Linked DNA regions of Elephas maximus indicus. The protein of the gene in region 2 binds, or shares a complex with, the protein of the main gene of each other region. Links are inferred from orthologs where the notes say so. Each region holds a gene or a part of one and is shown on either strand. Other genes may lie near its edges. The genes, in order: LAMTOR4, FLCN and LAMTOR3.

Region 1 (7,367 bases), on a different chromosome or scaffold from region 2:
CTTCCTCATCGCAAGCGGCTCATGGACCCAATCCACATTCTCCGACCCTCCCCTCTCGCAGGGTCAGATGTCAATGGGCTCCCGGCCTCGGTTCTGCCTCTTCACCACAAACACCCTCTGTCCTGACACGGTCACCAGCAGCGTGTGTTCTCCAAAGACCACTGGAGGAGAGACGCCCCAGGAGAGGGAAGGGAGCACAGGGTTAGTGTGGTGCGATGGCCTCCATGGGATCACAGAAGTTGGCTGATACCAAAAGCCAAAGAAATTCTATAGTTCAAGGCTCAAAAGATGAGAGGCCTCCAATAAGTCCCCTTCTTGCTCATATCAACTCTGGTCCAGGGGAGGGGACCTCAAAGGGAAGAAAGTGGCCAGAACCAGCGACCCCAGGAGGCGATGACAGAAGAGTTGGTAGGAGATAGTCTTTTTTCCCTGAGAAGCAGCAGCCTTTGGGAGAAGCCCCCTTCCCCCCACACCACCAGGGCAGAGATGGGGGCTCACCTGACAGGCGTTTGAAGGGTATGTTCATGCCCGGGTGCAGCCGGAAACCACAAGCGGTGCTGACCAGCTCAGAAATGGCGCTGGCTGCCTGCTCGTCATTCTCTAGATCCCCAGACGACTGCACGCAGGTGGGAGGGAGGAGGGCAGAAATGAGGGAAGAGAATTGGGAAGGAATTCCAGGCAGTCACTTTGTCTCTAGTGTGTGGAACCTCTCCCTCTTCACTTTGCAAGATTCCTAGGTTACCCCAGTTCTGGAAAAACAACTAAAACCTTCCTTGGTGTTATAGCTTCCTCTTTGTGTCATCCTATTTCTCATTCTTATAATACTGGGCTTCCCCTGATGATTCTTCATCCATTTCTTTACTGACCATTCTTTCCTAGCCCCTTGGAAATTGACTTTGTTCCCTGTCCCCAAGTATTTGATAAAACTACATTCTCGAAAACCAATACTCAGCCCTGAAAATGACCACTGAATTGTTAGAAGATCCGTCTTTTCTGTCTTCCCATTTACTGCCCTGTTTGCAGAATCTGGAGCACAACCATCCCCTTTGTCCTGACATCTCTCCCTACTACCCAGACCTTGGGTCAGTGCTGTGACAGTGGCCTGGGCTTCCTCTTTTTCTGGTGACTATCTCAACTTCCTCTCCCACCTCCTTGATATGGGCCTCCCACTAAGTTAAGTTTACTGCACTTCGCTCCCTTGGACATTCTATACTCCAGTTCTCTCATCTGCAAACTGGGAACAATACAGTACCTTATAAACTTATTATGAAGATTAAATAATATTGGCAAGATGCTTAGAACAGCTCCTACCATTTACATTAACTGCTGTTATTCCACACCAAACTCAATGTTTAAAGTCAAAACATGGAATTCCCTGTACTTCCCACCCTCCCCAATCAACTTCCTTTCTTCATTTCCTGTTTGTTGAGGCACCATCATTCTTCCAGGTTTATGAGTTCAAAGCCTTACTAGATGGAGAAGTATCTCCTCCATTACCTATATCTAGTCATTCCTCCTCTAAATTTATTTTCTCGCTCCTCATTGCCACCAGCCCAGTCTCATACCTAGTTTACTGCCCAGTCTTGAAAATTCATCACCCCCTACTCCATCTTCACACTGCTAACAGAAAAATCTCGCTAAAGCATTTCATCAGGTAGTGTTCCCGTTCAAAAGCCTTCAATAGCTCCTTACTACCTTCAAGATTAAGTCCAAATGTACAAATCTGGCTTTGAAAGTCCTCCACAATCTGGTCCTTTCTTTACAATATCCTTTTCTTCCCCCAAACCTTTCCAAATCTTCTCCATGTGACACCCACCAAATCAGACAGGTTGGTGTCACACACCTGCAAATATGTCCACTTCCCAGCCCCAAAGAACTCTCTTCCTCTTCACAACTACCCATCCTGGATTTCTACCTCCAAGACAGTTTCCTTACCATAACACAAGTTATTACATAATATAACATGAAGGGTTGATTTCATCAGTAGTCTTTACCACTCACCCTGCTTTCAACTTTTAACCTTTTAAGCATTGTTTCTTTAGCTAAATTGAAAACTTCTAGAAAGCTAACACTATATTGTACTATGGAACAAAATACAAAGCCTAGTCAATAAATACCAAATACATACTTGAGAATAACTCAGGTAATATCAGTTACCAACAAACTTGTGACCCTTAATAGAGTTAGTAAGCCTCTTTTATCTCAGGAAAGTTGGAGACGGATTACTGAAACTTACTATACACTAGGCGTGCTACTAGGTGATAACAAAGAATAGAGACAAATTCGGGTAAAATGGGCAATACTGTAAGAGATGATGGACGATGTGTTCTTAGGGGATCCCCTCCCTTCCCCAGAACGCACCGCCAACACTGCGCCTTCACTCAGCACCAAGTAGCCAAGCTGGTCTGGGATTCGCTCCAGCCCCTGGGTCAGTGCAGAAGTCTAGTGGTTAAAGGAGCAATCAGTGAGAAGCACGCCAGGAAGGTGGCCCTCGACACCCGTGACCTGCAAACCCAAGGCCCTCTCTTGATGACAGTCCCCCAGGCCTTCTCTTCCCCAGCCAGGACCCTTCCCTCTACCTGGCCTCAAACACTGAGCTTTCCCTTGCCTTCTGTGCCTCCGTCTGTCCTCTCTATCTCCCTCTGCCCGTGGGCTCCCTCGGCCTCTCACATCCTACCTTTGATGTGATACCCCAGTATGTCTTCACAGCCCCACTGGTCCCTCACATCAGACCCTCCAACTCCCCTCGTGCCCCGCCCCTCCAGCACTCTCTGTCCTTAGTCCCTCCCGTCTCCACTCTTCCAGTCCCGGGGTGGCTTGCGGTGAAGGTGGGGTGCAGGCCCAGGAAGGGGCAACCAAGAAGGTTGGGGGACTGGAACGCGGAACCCCCAGCGCGTACTCCCGCGCATGCGTCCTCACTCACCATCGCAAGCTTTAGGTGCTGGGGGCACTCCCTACCAGAGGGGCAGCTTCCTAACCGAGTCCCAGATCACGTGCTTCCTGCGCGGCGCCGCCGCACTTCGGCCCCGCCCCCAGCATGACTGGAGCATGGGCTACATCATCAGACCGAATCTACCAGTGAGAAGCGCCGTTTTGCGAAGACGCGCGCGGATTGGTCACGTACCCTCTTTAACACCCGTATCCCGCCCCTCAGAGCTTGAACGCCAGGAGGAGGGGGAAGTGTGTGTAGGGGTTAGAGGAGCGGGGAAGGCCCTGGAGCGGGTAGGGCTGAGATTGCGCGAAGGAGGGCTCACGGGGTAAAATCTGGGTTTGGCTTCCTAGAGTGCGACCCGAAGCGAAAACATTTATTGGGTTTCAGATTTCTTCACCCTAAAAGGAGATAATAAAATAAAATCATGCTTCTGAAACCTATTCAAAATGGTATTCTTATGCCTACTCTAGGCAACTGGGATGCTCAAAGTGGTGCCCCCCCGCCCCATACAGCCAACAGAAAATACTGCATATTCTCTGCCCAGAAAAATTAGTAACAGGACCTTGGAGCGAGGTATCTTCATATATCACAAAATGCTAGGAGCCCTGGTGGTGCACTGGTTAAATACTTGGCTGCTAATCAAAAGTTTGCTGTTCAAACCCACCTGCCATTCTGCAGCAGAAAGATGTGGCAGTCTGCTTCCAAAGATTTACAGCCTTGGAGACCCTATGAGGCAGTTCTACTCTATGCTATAGGGTCGCTATGTGTTGGAATGGACTAAACAGCAACGGGTGTTTTGGTTTTATCACAAGATATGTGTAAACATAGGAATAGACACTTTCCAGAGCTGCTGCAATACTAAAGGGACTAAGGCAGTGTTGGTGAGGTAAAATAAAGATAATTCCAGAGATAATAAGTACTTGTAAAGAAATCGGAACCTTCATACACTGCTGGTGGGAATGTAAAATGGTGCAGCCACTGTGGAAAACAGTCTGTCAACTCCTCAAAATGTTAAAAATATAATTATAATATTGTTACATCCCACTGAGTCGAATTCTACTCACAGTGACCCTATATGACAGAGTCGAACTGCCCCCATAGGATTTCCTAGCCTATAATCTTTATGGGAGCAGATCGACAGTTATTTTCTCCCGTGAACTTGTTGGCGGGCTCAAGCCACTTACCCTTTGGTTTTATCAGCCAAATGTTTAACCATTGTGCCACGAGGGCTCCTCATCAAACCACACCAAACTTACTGCCTTCCAGTTGTTTATGACTCAACGCGAACCTATAGGACAGAGTAGAGCTGCCCCATAGGGTTCCCAAGGCTGTAAATCTTTAGGAAAGCAGACTGCCACATCTTTCTCCCTCAGAGCTGCTGGTGGGTTTGAATCACTGACCTTTTGGTTAGCAGCAAAGCACTTTAACCACTACACCACGAGGACTCCTTAGGGCTCCTCATAGGACCCAGCAATTCTGTTCTTAGGTATATCTCAGGAGAATTTGAAAACATGTTCACGCAAAAACTTACACATGAGTGTTCATAGCAGCATTATTCATACTAGCCAAAAAGTAGAAGCAATCCAAATAGCCATTTACTTATGAAAGAATAAATAAAATGTGGTATATGCATACAATTGAATATTGTTTAGCCATAAAAAAGAATGAAAGGATCCTGAGGTTCACCCTTCAGCCAAAGATTAGACAGGCCCATAAAACAAAACAAGACTAAAGGGTCACATCAACCCAGAGGCAAGGACTAGAAGGCAGGAGACACGAAAGCTGGTAATAAGGAACCCAAGGTCAAGAAGGGAGAGTGTTGACATGTCGTGGGGTTGGTAACCAACATCACAAAACAATATATGTACTAGTTGCTTAATGAGAAGCAAGTTTGTTCTGTAAACCTTCATTTAAATACGATAATTAAAAAAAAAGAGAGAGAGAAAAGAATGGAAGGAGCCCTGGCGGTACAAATGGTTAAGCACTCGACTGCTAACCATAAAGGTTGGAAGTTCAAACCCACTCAGCAGCTCTGAAGGAGAAAGACCTGGCAATCTGCTTCAGTAAAGATGACAGCCAAGAACACCCTATGGGGCAGTTCTACTCGTCACATGGGGTGGCTATGAGTTGGAATTGACTGGACAGCACCTAACAATAACAACAACAAAAGAAGTGAAGTACTGATATATGCTACAATGTGGTCGAACCTTGAAAACATGCTAAATGAAAGAAACCAGACAAAGGAAGCCATGTGATTCCATTTATACGAAATACCCAGAATAAGCAAATACATAGAGACAGAAAGCAGATTAGTGGTTTCCAGGGGCTGGTGACTGCTCTTTGGGAAAAAGAAGTGGCTGTCTGCTTCCACAAAGATTTATAGCCTTGGAAATCTTATGGGGTAGTTCTATTCTGTCCTGTAGTGTGGCTATGAGTCAAAATTGACTAGATAACAATGGGTAGGGATTGATGGGACAGAGAATGGGGAGTGACTGTTAATGGGTACAGGGCTTTTTTGGGAGGTGATAAAAATGTTCTGGGATTATAGACTGGTAATGGTTGCATAGCCTAGTGAACATACTAAAATCCACTGAATTGTACACTTTGAAATGGCAAATTATATCTCAATAAAAAAAATAAGTACTGTTGCTTGAGGAGAAACAGCTAATTAGAGAAGGTGGATGCCTTTACAAAAATGAGAGAAGATCTAAATTTAAATTATAAAATTTAAACTGGAAGGGGATGTAGAGAGAGAAAATTCCGTGGAGACACTTAATTTACAAGACCTTCCTGGCCTTAAAAATCACTGGGTGGCACCAGGGTTGGATTACCTAATAAGCAAGGTAAGCACGTGCTTAGGGCATCAACAAAACAGGGGTACCAGTTGTCCAAAGCAAAGATCTGTAATGCTAAGCAGACAGGGCACAAGGAAAAGCAAGTGCTGCAGTGGAAGGGAACTGGCAGTGCACTAAATGAAATTGATACCATTTTATAAATTTTGTGTACAATAACAATCATATTTTCTTTTCATTTCGCATCAATTGGGTATAACCCCATATTCAATTCTCGTGGACCACATAAGAACGTGTCAGTCGCACAATAATCACGTGACTCATGACGTATCCAGTCCCACAAAGTTAACCAAAACACTTCTTCAGATTGAGCATACCCTTGTAGTTGTATCATGCTCTTTGCGATTGCTCTCGCCCTGGTTGGGTATCAGTAGTAGTCCAATGAACATGAAGACGCAGCATCAAAGTAGAAAAAGTAAGCATGCACGTTTTTAAGTGTTATTTCAAGGGGAAAAACACTTGTGGAGATCTGGAGAGGGCCTGCCAACAAACATTGTATGACAAACGAATGAAATTACTTCCTATTGCCTTGTAAGTACTATTTCTTTTGACTCAGACCTGAAGAACAAAATTACATGTTCCAAATCAATTGTTTTACCTATTTTCAAATATAAATTTTTGTGTTAATGTCCAAATTCGTATGTAAAATTTATTTTATAAATAAATATAAATTTCACTTGTTTTATAAGTTTTATTTATTGTCAGTTATTCATATTTATTTGCTGTGTTAGAACCAAATTTCAAAAGTGACATAATTTTATATCCAGGTAAAATGAAATGGCAACAACTAAGTGGAGTGCAAAAATGAAAGCTCACAGATGATAGAAAGAAAAGGATTTGTGAATCCCTAAAAACAAGTCCAAAATTAACTTCCTTTTAAAAATGTAATGAATTAGTAGAGACTTCTTCTGTTGAATACTCAAGCTTAATGGGTGCAAATCATTGTAGTAGTACCGGCAGTGCTGAAATTACTAATAGCAATATGAATATGAAAGAGTTTGTTCCAAATTCTGCATCCATTCCCTCTCACCTTGGCCCTGCACCCCTTCCTGATGGGCTGTGCTGTGCTACCTGGTGAAAGAGACATCAGTTTGCTGCCACCCAATTCTGCTCCATCTCCAACTGCCACCACCACCACCATCATATTTTTTGTTGTTGTTCTTTTTATTTATTTATTATATTTGTTTCTCTGATTGTTGGTGTCTTCTGTCTCCTTCCCCTCTTTCCATTCCTTTCTCCCATCCACCTAGCCCCATGTGCCACCCACACCACTTCTCAACAGGTTGAGCCATACTACTCAGGTAGAGCGCCACCAGCACATAGCCTCGCTGGGTCTGCCCCACCCCCAGCCACTGAATCCTACTGCACCACCATTTTATTTACTTTTACTTAAATTTTTGCCTTTTTTTTTTTTGCCTTTGTTTCTCCCTCTTTTTTCACTCACCCATTTAGCTCTGCACATCACATCTTCTCCTTTCCCTCTGCCTATCTTCACCATGCACTGAGTGCCACATTCTGAGCAGTACTAACACAGTCCCTTAGACCCCGCCCTGCACTGCCCCACAGCCCTGCTCTGTTGCCCC
Region 2 (6,975 bases):
TAGTCAAACCAAGTATTCAGGCACCTGAAAGAGACAGGCTTCCTGTCCACCTTCCCCTCACACACTGGCTAAGTCCATGGACCCGACAGTGCTCTCTGCACTCATCCCTCACCCGCCCCCGCAGCCATGTCGTAGCCTACGCCCTGGACCTATTCATAGGACCATTTGGATTAGACAGTAAATGAAAGTACTTTGCAAATAAATGAGGTATCACAATGGTACTTCACCAGTCATGAGCATCAGACTCATCTCCCACAGAGGACCCTAAGTCAGTGCTTGGGATTTTAGTAAGAACAAGGTGGAAAAGGTCCACAGGGATTACTTTCAGCTCACACTCACTCACACTGTGGCTCTACTACTTCTACTGACATCACCTAGGCTTCTGTTTACACAACTCCTTGATATAAGACACTAGAAGAGGAAACACTGTCACATGCCACTATTACTCAACGGCTCAATGACAATGTTGGTGATCTAGTGCCTCCAGCACTAAATTGGCCATGGCCTTTCTCTGCTGCAACACGGAGGCCCTCCTGCCAACCTAACTAGATACCAATGGGTGGTGCCAGGTGTCCAAGGGCCAGAGAACCAGTACCTCCTTTCAGCAAGCTCCTCCTCGCCCTCTGCCTCAGGTGGCTGGAACTGACCAGTTTGGACCTTCATCTGCAACAAACCAATCCCTGGGCTCCACATTCTTTTCAGGTGAAAAGGATACCACTAACACCCACCAAACTAGAAGAAGTTGCCCATCTACTCTGCCCTGAAGGACACCCATATAGGCCTATTAGCTTTGTCAGAAGGCTCTCAGAATGCAGGCCTGGGAGAAAAAGAATCATGACACCCACTTTCCCCTAAACCAGAGGGAAGGCAAAATCTAGGCGGGGGTAGGCAAAATTAAATGAAAATAGATCAATGATCCTGATGGGGAGGGGGGGCGGTGTTAAGCTCAGATCACATTTCTTTTTTTTTTTTATTGTGATCTAAGTGAAAGTTTACAAATCAAGTCAGTCTCTCATACAAAAATTTATATACACCTTGCCATGTACTCCTAGTTGCTCCCTCCCTAATGAGTCAGCACACTCCTCCTCTCTACCCTGTATTCCCTGTGTCCATTCAGCCAGCTTCTGTCCCCCTCTGCCTTCTCATCTTCCCGCCATACAGGAACTGCCCACATAGTCTCACGTGTCTACTTGAGCCAAGAAGATCACTCCTCAACAGTATCATTTTCTGTCTTATAGTCCAATCCAATCCCTGCCTCAAGAGTTGGCTTTGGGAATGGTTCCAGTCTTGGGCCAACAGAAGGTCTGGGGACCATGACCTCCGGGGTCCTTCTAGTCTCAGTCAGACCATTAAGTTTGGTCTTTTTACAACAATTGGAAGTCTGCATCCCACTGCTCTCCTGCTCCATCAGGGATTCTCTGTCGTGTTCCCTCTCAGGGCAGTCATGGGTTATAGTCGGGCATCATTTAGTTTTTCTGGTTTCAGACTGATGTAGTGTCTGATTTATGTCACCCTTTCTGTCTCTTGAGCTCATAGTTACCTTGTGTCTTTGGTGTTCTTCATTCTACTTTGCTCCAGGTGGGTTGAGACCAACTGATGCATCTTAGATAGCTGCTTGCTAGCATTTAAGTCAGGTCACATTTCTTATTTGTACACTCCAGGACTTCATGGATTTGCCCCTCCCCCATCCCAAATCTCACCCTCCCTCTGTATCACAGGTTCTTGGCAGATCCCTTCCACTATGACTCCAATCACTAACCAACCCCAGATCAACTTAAAATCCACTCAGCTATGCGCCCTCAGCTAACCCTGAAGACAGGTCTGGTTTCTCCATCCCCCTCAGGTCCCTGACCTCTCCTGGCTTTACACAACCGATCCTTCTCTCCACCAGGGCTCGCGCCCCTTCTACACCTGCAAACCTGCCTCAGCTAACGCTCTCCCCTTGCAGCCCCTCCGACCCCTATCACCCGGTTCTTTTCTTCAGTAAAGTAAAAAGATAACCCTCCTTCCTGGAGCCCAAACTCCCTTTCCGACTCTAGGAAAAAGCCCGGGGTTTTGGGGGCAGACAATCACAGTTCGAATCCCAAGTCTGCCTCTGACTGACTAGAGAAGTTAGCCATGGCTCTGGGCCTCAGGTTCCCCAAGGGCGATGTGGGGATAATCCCACATCCCCTCACCAGGCGCTAGAAAGGGGTTACATTCAGGTAACGCAAGCACAGCACCGCGCTCAGGGTCTGTCCAGCGGGAGAGCTGAGTACTTGAGAGCAACGATTCCCATTCCCTCGGGCCCTGTCACACACCCACTGTTAAACCCCACGCCGCGCTGTCTAGGGAACCAGAGCCTCGTGCCCCTCCTCCGACCCCAGACATAGATCCCATCCCATCCTTCCCTCTTGGCCCCAGGCAACCCGCCCCGCGGTCCTTCCCCCTCCCAGCAGGCAGGCGGCCTTCACCTGGCCCCACACGCTTGGCCCGGCCCCTCGCCTGGGTCCCGCCGCGGCCCCAGCCCCCACGGCCCAGCCCAGCCCAGCCCAGCCCCCTCTCCCGGGTCCCGCCGCGGCCCCCGGCCCCCACGGCCCAGCCCGGCTCCCTCTCTCGGGTCCCGCCGCAGCCCCCGGCCCCCACGGCCCAGCCCGGCCCCCTCTCCCGGGTCCCGCCGCGGACCCCGGCCCCCACGGCCCAGCCCGGCCTCCTCTCCCGGGTCCCGCCGCGGCCCCCGGCCCCCACGGCCCAGCCCGGCCCCCTCTCCCGGGTCCCGCCGCGGCCCCCAGCCCCCACGGCCCAGCCCGGGTCCCGCCGCGGCCCTCGACGTCCACGACCCCGGCCCAGCCCCCTCTCCCGGGTCCAGCCGCGTCCCCGGACCCCCCCAGCCCCCGACCCAGCCTCTCACCTGGGTCCCGTGGCAGCTCAGCACCGCCCCACAGGAGACAGAAGCGCCTGACTTGACCGGGCAACGCCATTCACCAGTTCCGTGGGGGTGGGCGGAGTAGGGGCAGGCCGAGCGCCCTCCGCCCTGAGGAAAGCCTGGCCGCGCTGGGCCCCGCACAAAGCTTCAGAGGACTGGCAACCTCGAGTCCGGCCGGAGGTCCGAAGCAGCCGCCCGCCACCCTTCTTCGCCGCCGCCGCCCCTGTCCGCCACCCCCCGCGAAAAGTACAGAATGGTTCCGACCACGCCGGCGGGGGACGCGGGCTATGAAAGGAAGCTATCTCGCGGGGGCGGGGTGTGCATGTGTACCTGAAAGGACAATTTGTTATAAAGAGATCTGAGGTACGTATAGTCAGCTTAAGACTTCTGATCCATAACGAAGAGAAAGAGAAACAGGAAGAAGCTTCAGCGTTGTAACACTGCCATCACGTTTAGCTCCGCGCTGACTCCGCCTTCTCCCCGCACTAGGAGGGTGGCCCTCGCAGGCTGGCACCCTGCCGGAGAGCGACGTGCCCTGCGATTTGGAGGCCCGTGTTGTCAATCCTTGGGGCGGGGTAGGAGTGCGCATGTGCGCGCCACACGCCGCTCACGGTGCACACAGGGTCTCTCCAGCAGCTGCTGAGTTTTCAAAATGCCAAGTTCAGTTACTGAATAATCACTATTGAAAAACACAACACCTGAGCGTCTGCTAGTCTGTTGTTAAGTGCTGTCCAGTCTGTTTCGACTCATAGCGACCCTATGTACAACATAAGGAAAGACTGCCGGGTCCTTCACCATTCTCAAAATCGTTGTTATGCTTGAGCCAATTGTCGCAGCAGTCGTATTTTGAGTGGCTTTCAATCTGAGGGGCTCATCTTCTGGCACTATATCAGACAATGCTCTGCTGCTTTTCATAAGATTTTCACTGGCTAATTCTTTTCAGAAGCAGACCGCTGGGTCCTTCTTCCTGGTCCGTCTTAGCCTGGAAGGTTAGCTGAAACCTGTCCACAGTGGATGACCCTGCTGGTATTTGAATATAGGTGGCATAGCTTCCAGCATCACAGCAACGCATAAGCCCCCACAGAACAACAAACTGACTGATGCGTGGGCACTGGTGAATCTCAAAATCTGCAGGTAAGACTGCAGGATGCTGGCTCATGTCCCAAGAACCAGAGGTCAGAAGCAGGATCCAGGCTGTTCTGTCTGGCTATCTCATAATTAATTTTGAACCATTAGTGCATATTGTAATGGGGTCCACAGAGCTCTGTTTCTGGGTTAAATACTTCTGAAGTCATGGGTACTAGAGTTTCTTGATAAAGACTAAGAGGCACTACAGAAAAAGAACAACCAAAAAAACCAAACCTGTTGCAGTCAAGTTGATTCCTACCCATAGGGACCCTGTAGGACAGAGTAGAACTGCCCCCACAGGGCTTCCAAGGAGCAGCTGGTAAATTACAACTGCTGACCCTTTGGTTAGCAGCCAAACGCTTAACCACTGTGCCACCAGGGCCCCCCAAAAAGATCAAAGACACCTTGAATTTCCAGGAAAGCTCATAAACTTCTTCCTGGTAACGAGTGTCCAGAATATGATTGTAATGAAGTATTGGGAAAGATCACAGTAAAGCCTCACTCTCCCTTCAAATTTCCAGGTTACGTTGAAAATGGGGCCTGATAGAAGAAAGAAATTGATGGGGGAAGAAAACGTTATGAGGTTGGGCATTCCTTTTAACCACCACCGGTCTGTCAGTTTGTCATGCTGAGGTGGCTTGTATGCTGCTCTGAGCTGTAAGCTATGCCACCAGTATTTCAAACACCAACAGGGTCATCCATGGTTTCAGGACAGCTTCTAGACTCAGAGTAGGAGAATAGACCTGACGACCTACTTCTAAAAATTAACTAACGCAAACTTTATGGGTCACAACAGAACATTGTCCAACTCACTTGCTTTCCATGTCATCAGGAGGGATCAATCGCTGGAGGAGGATATCATGTTTGGTGAACTACAGGGCCATTGAGAGCAGCGGAGACCCTGGGTGAGATGGATTGGCACAATAGCTGCAATGATGGACTCCTTCATGCTGGCAAGTGTAAGGATGGCACAGGAATGGGCACAGGCAACGTTTCATTGTGTTGTACATAAGATCGCTGTGAATCTGAGATGACTCCACGGCAGTAATCAATTTTGCTTTTAAATGACTAATTAGGAAACCCTGGTGGCGTAGTGGTTAATAGTGGTTAAGTGCTATGGGTGCTAACCAAAAGGTTGGCAATTCGAATCCACCAGGCGCTCTTTGGAAACTCTGTGGGGCAGTTCTATTCTGTCCTGTAGGGTCGCTATGAGTTGGAATCAACTCAACAGCACTGGGTTTGGTTTTTTTGTATACCTGTCAATAGAAAATAGGGTTTTCTTTGTTGTGTTCATTAGACCATACCCAAGTAGAACAGCGAAGAATACTGAATATACCATGGACTGCCAAAAGAACGAACAAATCTGTCTTAGAAGTACGACCAGAATGCTCCTTAGAAGCACGGATAGCGAGACCGCATCTTATATACTTTGGACATGTTGTCAGGAGGGATCAGTTCCTGGAGAAGGACATCATGCTTGACAAAGTACAAGGTCAGCGGAAAAGAGGAAGACCCTCAACAAGGTGGATTGACACAGTGACTGCAACAATGAGCTCAAGCATAACAACGATTATAAAGATGGCTCAGGACCCGACAGCGTTTCGTTCTGTTGCACATAGGGTCGCTATGAGTCGGAACCAACTCGATGGCACCTAACAACAACAACACAAGTAGAACGGGTTCTAAATCTAATCACTTCTGAATTATAGAAAGAAAAGATTAGACACAGCAACACACATGGCAGAAACAGGTACCTTGGGAGGATCATTTATAAGCCAAGAACACCAAGGAATGCCCAGGACTACCGACAAGGAAAGAATTGCCATAGCTGAGGCCCTGATCTGGACTTTAGCCTCCAGAACTGTTCGAAAATAAATTCCTGTTCTTTAAAGCTATCCACTTGTATAATTTGCGTTACAGCAGCCGTAGGTACCGAAGACATCTGTTTTTTCCTCATTCTTGAGACTAACATTCGTCAGTCATAAGCAAAGAAAAAGTTGTTTTATTTTGTTTTTTTCATCTTGTAACTTCAATTTTCAGAACGTAACTTCCTCGGTTTGTTAATGGGAGCCACCACCTTGCCTAGATTAACTTATTTCCATGATGATAAGCTAATGAAGGTCCTGAGATGAAGAAGGTCTATCCAACTGCTGCTATTTCAATAAAATGCAAGGTGTATTTACTACAGCTGGACTCACTTTATGCCATTATTATCTTTCCCAATATCACTGGCCTTAGCCAACTACCTCTTTTGGAGGGGTTTTCTCAAATATAACTAAAAACCTGTTAAAAACTACCCCAAAAACTGCAAACCAAATCCACTGTCATCAAGTCAATTTCGACTCACAGTGACCCCACAGGGTTTCCAAGCCTATAAATTTCTACAGAAGTATCAAAGCACCGACCTTTCAATTAGTAGTCTATTGCTTCAACCACTGCATCACCAACCTGCCAAATCCTTGCCCCAGTGAATTGTACCAAGGGTTAATTAAACTGGGTTCTCACAGAGTATAAACTTTAAGAGGAGTCAACAAAATGGACATACTAGAAGCCAGAAAATGAATCCCATGTTATCAGTGGGAAAGACAATTAAAACTCAGCAGAAATATTCAGAAAACAAAGAAGACAAGAATGCACATATATACACCCACTCCTCACTTATGAACATGGTTAGGTTCCAAAGACCAGATGTTATGCAAAAATCAGCACTATGCGAAAACAGAAGATGACCACATCAGATTGCAAAATGGAGTATGACTACATCATCATATAACTGACAAATTACATCATTACATAACTACCAAACCACTGAGATCATGGCCAAACCTTAACCGTCACAGCCAGCATTACTATCGCCTTACAGCTTGATGTTTGTTACTGCCAGGCACACATTGTTAATGTGCAAAATAGTCAGATAGTAGATTTTTTACTATCGCCATTAA
Region 3 (7,624 bases), on a different chromosome or scaffold from region 2:
TAAAGTAAGAATACTCATAGAGCCTATTTAATAAGATTGCTGTTACAGTTTATTGAGAAGATGCATATAAAGTGATTAGCATACCTGGTAACAGAAAACAAAAATTACATTACACGTAAAATCAGATTATACTTTCCATACTATTGTATATCCTGTTGCTACTGCTGTGTTTGCTTGAGAATATATGACTATCTTGCTATATTTATAAATAAGATTTTCTAATATCACTTTTAATGATTCTCAGATGATTACAATGACAACACAAAGTGTGTTTAAGCATGAAACGTTAATTAAACCAAAATAACAAAACCAGTTGCCCTAGGGTTGACTGCGACTCATGGCAACCCCATTGTATTACAGCAGAACTGTGCTCCATAAGGTTTTCAATGGCTGATTTTTCAGAAGTAGATCGCTAGACCTTTCTTCCGAGGTGCCTCTGGGTGGAAATGAACCACCGACCCTTCAGTGAACAGTGAGTGCATTAACCATTTGCACCACCCAGAGACGCCTAAATCATAATCAGAACTAAAGAAATGGAAGACTACTTTATTTTGCCTCCTCGTATCTCTCATCTGGGGAAAATGACCATCTAGGCTTCAATTAAGACCTCTATGTAGATGAATCAGATACCATCTATTCTTCAGAACCTCTAATACCTACAATTGTCTAAACCTGAATGCATCGCTACCAGCTTACCTTGCTTTCATCTTAATACACACACACACAGAGAAATGAACTCATCCTGTTGCCCCTGAATCCAGATTTCCTCAATTTCTTCTTCTCTCCACTAATGGCACTACCAATCCCCTGGTTTTAGGTTTGAAACCAAGAGTTAACATTTAACTTTAATTCACGTTTGCCACTTTTAAATCACTTGTCAAATAAAATGTTTTTAAATTGATCTTTTCCTGTTTTTCCACAGACACTGTTATTTTTATTTCTTTTACTATTTATGACTTGCACTAATCTCCCAACTGGTATTCTCGTCTCCCATTTCTATCCTATTCCACACTGCGCCAATCATATTATTCTCCTTCTCTAAAGCCTTATTGCAGTGGTTCTCAACCTTGCTATAGAAATTACTTGGGAAGCTTTAATAATATTGATGCCTGGGCTGGAGGTATTCCCTGGGTAGCCAAGGTTTGAATGGCCCTCCAGCTTTCACTGGATTACGTACAAACTCTTTAGACATTTGAGGTTCTCTACAACATAGTCTAGGTCTAATTTTACAGTTCTGTATCCTCATACATATCCACAGCTCCAACTAAGCTGGTCGACTCAGTTTCTCCACACACACCTCTCCCTTCTTAACTCTTGGACTTTGTTTATGCTATTCACGCTACTAGAAATACTTTGCTCTCGATTTTACTTTTAAAAAAAAAAAAGATGCTACTCAGCTTTCAGAGCTAAATCTCAACCATCAAATATTCCAAATAGTCTTTTCTGATAGACAAAAACCAGATGTAATCCTTTCCTCAATTTTCACACTATTATGTATGCATATCTATGATCACTTACCTATTCCTCTATTAATCTTAAAAACCCTTAAAGAATTATCCCTTAATCATCTTTATTTTACCCATAGCCCTTATCATAGCAACTTTTCCAAGGCAGATGCTCAATATTTAGTGATTTGACTACAGGTGAAGAATTAAGGTCTCAAAAATATAACCGATGGTACTAAAAAAATAAGCGGTGGGTAAAGGCATAAAAAGTTCCTAAATCTTTGAACCATATAATCTTGCAACCTAAAAGGAAAAACTGGATTTGTATTCATGTTGAATGACCATTCAGTGTGGTGGATAAGAATATAGCCTTTGGAGCCAGACTGTCAGCGTTGTTCTCTTGACTTCACCACTTACTAGCTGTGTAACCCCGGGTGAGTTACTTTATTTTTTTGTGGCTTTGCATCACCATCTATAAGACGAATAATAATCGTACCTACTTCTAAATGTTGTTATAAGAATAAATTAGTATATACTCAATGTTTGGAAGAATATTCGGCAAGATAACAGGATGTAAAATATAAACATTAGTATCAGTAATTCTCTGCACTTTTCAGTAACTAGTACAATTAAGTCCCCTAAGCTTGGAATTTGGGTCTTACTGCTGTGCTAAAGAGGAATTTCAAGTTGTCACAATAATCCCAAGTGAGACATCATGACTGGTTACTGGAAAGTAAAGCATTCAGTGCACATGTCCTACTAACCACACAGTGATTGGGAAGACTGCAGACCATCATTTAGAAGCTCAAATGGTAAACACACAGGGCTTCTTTGATGTTCACAGGATTGGGGTGTGAGAATACAATCTTCTCACCCTCAAGCATATCTTAAGAGTCTCTCCTCAAACCCCATACTGGACAGAAACTCAGAACCCCACAAATCCATTCTTATCAGTCTCCCACTCCAGACCCTAGGGGAAAAAAATCGGGAGGAACGCCTAAAAGAAAGGTCTGTACATGGGGAGTTCTACCTCTCCCCGCCCAGTATCCTTTCCAAACTCCCACCCTCTCCTTTTTTCCTGTGTAAGAATGTCAACTCACATCCGCCATGATGAACCCCCTTCTCTCGCAGGATCAATCTCCACGCCTGGAAGAGAAACCTCTGGTGACTATTCCTTCGAAGCTTCCTCGCCTTCTCCACCCCCAGCCGACTCCGCGGCTCTAGGACCGTACCAAAGAGGCCGAAGGAGTAGGTGTTCCCCAAGACCTCGACGGGAATCCGGGATGTCTTACCTCAGCCCACTCCACCACCACCACCCCGAGATCTGGGCCCAAAGGCTAGGAAAAGTGGTGCCCTCTCCCCCTTCGTTTCCCCCACCAACAGCCCTCCCTCGCTATCCCCGGGCACAAGTCCCTATGCCGGGCAAAGTGGCGCCAGTTACCTGGGTTTCCGCTCCCGGGAATGCCCGGGTTCTCTCTGCGGGCACTTCAGGGACACTAGGAGACAGGTTCCTCCCCAAGCGGCCCTCACATGATTTGTGACCTCGTCGGCCCCCAGGAAGCACTTCCTACGCCTCCGACGCCCGGTGACACAGGATTTCCGGGGACTGTAGGCGGAAACTGAGCGCTTTTTGGCTCGCGGTGCTCCGCCCTGCCCCGCCCCGCCCGCGATGCCCCGCCCCGGCCCTTTCTGCCTCGCCCCGCCCGCGCTACCCCGCCCCTCCCGCTTGCCTTGGGCCGGACGGATTTGAACTCTTAGGCGATTCTTAAAGAGATTGCTGGGCCCGAAAGCCCCCAGAAAATGTATGCATGTTCTTGTGCAAGAAGACATTTTTGTGCGGAGAACGTGCATAAATTTTATTAGTTTTTTAGGGCCAGTACCTTAAAAGTTATTCTTGTAAATGAGTGGAAGGGAGGGCGTTAACGAGCTGTATGAGATTGATTGCCCAGGGATTAGAAATTCCAGATCTACAGGTTTCTGGTCCCGATTTCCTAGTCTCTTTTTGGCTTTCCCATGGATGTCACCCTACATGCTCTTTGCTCAAGGTTTTGTCTAGATTGAATCGAGGAGCCATGGGCTTTCTGGAGCGCTCGGGGAGTCAAGCAGCACCCCAAGCTTCTGCTTCTTTTAAGGTACGCACTGAACTACGTTTTCTCATTGGTTCTTGACATGTGGGATTGCCTTCTAAGCATTGCCTAAAATATTTTTTGCTTGGTGCCTTGCTTGTTTTCACGTTTAACAAAAACCTACAGTAGGTAGTAGGAAGATTACGAAGTATGGTAAGGGGGAAACCCTCTCCGATCACCTCAGCCCAGGGTTTCTCAATCTCTGCACTCCTGATACTTTGGGCTAGATACATCTTTGTTGAAGGGGGTTGTCATGTGCATTTTAGGCTGTTTAGCAACATCCCTTGCCTATGCTCACTAGATGCTAGCAGTCTTCCCTCCTCCCTTCCCCCCATCACCCCCCCCCACTTTTGTAACAACCAAAAATCCCCTGGGGGGCAAAATCACACCCCAGTTGAGAACCACTGCCTTAGCCCCTCCTAGGAAAACTGAAGTTCATGGCTTTAGTTGCAGATTACCTCTGGTTTCATTTATTCAAAGCTGGGTAGTATGTCTTGGAAAATTCCGAGATTTATGGAAACTTGTTTAAGACTGATCTTCATTTCCCGCCCCTAAAAGCAGGAATGCAAAAGGGATTAAGTCTAGCCTAAGACATGGTGAAAAGTCTTGGATACATATTTCCTACAACTATACCTGACAAGAGGCAATTGTAAACCATAGAGTTCCCAAATGTCACAAATGATCTACTGTAATATAATTTTCTTAAAATGCTGTCTTGACAGGGAACATAACAGAATCCCTAATGGAGCAGGAGAACAGTGGGATGCAGTACTCAAATTGTCATAAAAAAGACCAGACGTAATGGTCTGAGACTGGAGGGACCCTGAAAGTCATGGTCCCTGGACCCTCTATTAGCCCAAGACTGGAACCATCCCTGAAGCCAACTCTTCAGACAGGGCCTGAACTGGACTGTAAGACAGTATCATTTTCTGGTGAGGAGTGAGCTTCTTGGCTCAAATAGACACAGGAGACTATGTGGGCAGCTCCTCTCTGGAGGCGAGATGAGAAGGTAGAGGGGAACAGGAACTAGGTGAAAGGACACAGGAAATACAGGGTGGAGAGGAGGAGTGTGCTGTCTCATTAAGGGGAGAGCAGCTAGGAGTACATAGCAAGGTGGGTTTTTGTATGAAAGACTGACTTGATTTGTAAACTTTCACTTAAAGCACAATTAAAAAAAAAAAAAAATGCTGTCTTGACTGCTTTGAGGCCCTGGCTGGAGGCTAGTCCGTTCACCTTCTTCAGCAGCTGATTAATTCCACTCTCCAACCACTCCCCTCATCAGGTTCTCACATTCCTGGGCCACTATGCACCCACCCTAATTGTCCCAGGGCCAGGTACCTAACAACTCAGGACAGCCCTCTATACCCCCTGAGCTTGCAGAGTTATTCAAGAATGCCTATTCCCCAGGAAACCAGAAAAACCTAGCTAACCCTGCCCTGCTTGCCACACATAAGCCTTTTCCTATAATTTGTTGTTACCTTCGCTGAGTCGGAATCGACTCGACGGCAGTGGGTTTGGTTTGGGTTTTTTCTCTGGGTGCAACCCCTGTGTGGCCCTGCATCATGGTGTGTTGTGCCTCCCTGCCTCTGGGAACTGTGAGCACAATAAACCTAGTTACTTTTCAGGGTTTCCCTGGCTCTTCTTTCCCTCCTCACACCAGACTTACCATCCAAAAAATCTGTTTGAGCACCTACAAATTTTTACAAGTGAACTTGACAGTTCCATAGCAGTTGACACCATTAAAGATTACTTCCTTTTCCTTATTTAAAATCTTTGATTTCTTAGTTTCTGGGACACCGCTTTATTTGTTTCAGGTCCCCACCCACTCAAGTCTCTAACTGTTCAGATGATGGCATTTCCCAAGCTTATCTTGGGTTCCTCTGCAATGTTCTCTTTCCCGTGTTCTGAGAATGTGAGTCTTTCCTCTGAGTTCTAGATTCACATTCTTAGCTGCTTGCTGGATGTTGGATATTTCTACCTACATACCTTACTGTCAGCTCTAACTCAAAAGCTCTAAAAAACTTGGGTCTAATAAACCTGTTTCTCCTATGTCTGTACCAGTACCATGATTCTACTAGTCAGGAATCATGTTTGGCTGCTCTCTTTCTTTCCTCATGATATGTCTTTTCTTCCCTAACAATGATTTTTGCATCTGTATTTTTTCAATTCTTGATTCAGACCGTATTTCTACTCAGCAAGACTATATCAATAGCCATTTAATAACTGGCAGATGAACCTTCTTAAAACACTCATTACTGCCTGCTAAGAAGATCTTTAGTGATGTACCATCACAGACAAAGTTGACAGTCTTTAATCTGGCACTAATACTCTATTTTACTTCTGAGTACTTTTTTTTTTAATTGAACTTTAGATGAGGGTTTACAGAACAAACTAGTTTCTCATCAAACAGTACACACATTGTTCTATGACATTGGTTAACAACCCCATGACATGTCGACACTCTCCTTTCTCAACCCTGGGTTCCCTGTTACCAGCTTTCCTGTTCCCTCCTACCTTCCAGTCCCTACCCCAGGGCTGGTGCACACCTTTAGTCTTGTTTTGTTCCATGGGCCTGTTCAATCTTTGGGTGAAGGGTGAACCTCAGGAATGACTTCATTACTGAGCTGTAAGGGTGTCTGGGGGCCATACTCTCAGGGTTTCTCTAGTCTCTGTCAGGCCAGCAAATCTGGCCTTTCTTTTTGAGTTAGAATTTTGGTCAACATTTTTCTCCAGCTCTGTCTGTGACCCTCTATTGTGATCCCTGTGAGAGCAGTGACTTCCAAATACATTCTAGTGTGAATCTTCTACTCTAGCCAAATTGATTACTTCATCCTTTTGGTTAGCAGCCATCGTGCCACCAGGGCTCCTTCACAGCATACCAGTACCTGTATATATAGTTAGTAAAGACACTGCATATATTGTTAAAAAACCAGAATAAAAAAAGTTGAGATCTCTGTTGTATATAACAGGTAAGAGAACTTTAAGAGAATCAGAAACAAAGGCTCTGATATCACCAATAAAGTTAGAATGAAATGCATGATACTGTATTTCATCGATTCTGAGATGGATTTCCCCCTAACATTTTAACATCTCTGAAACTGAGATGTATCTTAAATTGATTGCTTATTAGATCCGATGAAATACAGTGATATTTTCCCTTCGATTTGACTGAAAATATGACAGAGTTTATTAACTTTCCATAGCCTATATTATATGGGATTACAGTAGAAGTGGTGCTGAACACAGGGTGGGAGATTGGGGTCAAAGACAGTGGGAGAGTATACAAGATCTAAGGAAAAGATCAGAGTGGTTGGTTTCTAGGCATAATGAAGCCAGGTTCTAGTTTCCTCTTCCAAATTTTATCCCATAAATTTTCTAGATATGCAATCATCGCTCAGGACAGAAAAAGTTAATGTTTTATTTGAGTAACAAGAGGCTCGTTAAATTATGTAAAACAGTAATACTTCTACCTAAAACTGAAACCAAACCCATTGCTATCAAGTTGATTCCGACTCATAGCAACCCTATAGGACACAGTAGAAATGCCCCATAAGGTTTCCAAGGAGCAACTGGTGGATACGAATTGCCGACCTTTTGGTTAGTAGCCGTAGCCCTTAACCACTGCGCCACCAGGGCTCCAAATTTTAAAAATCCTTAGTATTTTTGCAATAGCAACTTTAAAAGTAATTAATAAAATACTGAGATTTAACTCATAAGTCAACTATATCATAATAAATTCTACATTTGTTGGGTCCTTCTTCATTTTCAGTATGAAATATTGTTTGGAATAAAGAAGCCAGTTTAAGATTGTGTTTTAACACATCCATTTGAAATGGGGGCATATCTGTAATACTACCATAATTGTACAAAGAGAAAATATTGCCACTGAAGTATGAAGACTAAGAAACAAATTGTAATTCTAAACTGACAGATACCTAATTTGCAATACAAAATATGTTCTTTGAAATGTGTTTCAAAAGATGCTGTTATGTTATCTTTGTACATGGGATCAAACTAAGTAATTTATTAGTACATTAAAGAGCAATGTAACTA

The links.
Region 1: FLCN (region 2) and LAMTOR4 share a complex: the UniProt entries of both Homo sapiens proteins name them as parts of the lysosomal folliculin complex. The link is inferred for Elephas maximus indicus from reciprocal best matches to the Homo sapiens genes FLCN and LAMTOR4.
Region 3: FLCN (region 2) and LAMTOR3 share a complex: the UniProt entries of both Homo sapiens proteins name them as parts of the lysosomal folliculin complex. The link is inferred for Elephas maximus indicus from reciprocal best matches to the Homo sapiens genes FLCN and LAMTOR3.

The regions. Positions count from the first base shown.
Region 1 is NC_064830.1:91,691,712-91,699,078, reverse strand, and holds the start of LAMTOR4 (ragulator complex protein LAMTOR4), read right to left. Parts: upstream 3,024-7,367; 5' UTR 2,927-3,023; coding exon 2,924-2,926; intron 2,443-2,923; coding exon 2,362-2,442; intron 617-2,361; coding exon 499-616; intron 162-498; coding exon 64-161; 3' UTR 1-63. UniProt on the Homo sapiens protein: As part of the Ragulator complex it is involved in amino acid sensing and activation of mTORC1, a signaling complex promoting cell growth in response to growth factors, energy levels, and amino acids.
Region 2 is NC_064820.1:215,293,100-215,300,074, reverse strand, and holds the start of FLCN (folliculin), read right to left. Parts: upstream 2,965-6,975; 5' UTR 2,891-2,964; intron 2,884-2,890; coding exon of another isoform or gene 2,293-2,883; intron 1,535-2,292; exon of another isoform or gene 1-1,534. Other genes in the region: uncharacterized protein LOC126068403, read right to left, coding at 2,293-2,883, 2,965-3,128, 3,356-3,494. UniProt on the Homo sapiens protein: Multi-functional protein, involved in both the cellular response to amino acid availability and in the regulation of glycolysis.
Region 3 is NC_064823.1:53,260,960-53,268,583, reverse strand, and holds the start of LAMTOR3 (ragulator complex protein LAMTOR3), read right to left. Parts: upstream 3,042-7,624; 5' UTR 2,887-3,041; intron 2,592-2,886; 5' UTR 2,555-2,591; coding exon 2,546-2,554; intron 1-2,545. UniProt on the Homo sapiens protein: As part of the Ragulator complex it is involved in amino acid sensing and activation of mTORC1, a signaling complex promoting cell growth in response to growth factors, energy levels, and amino acids.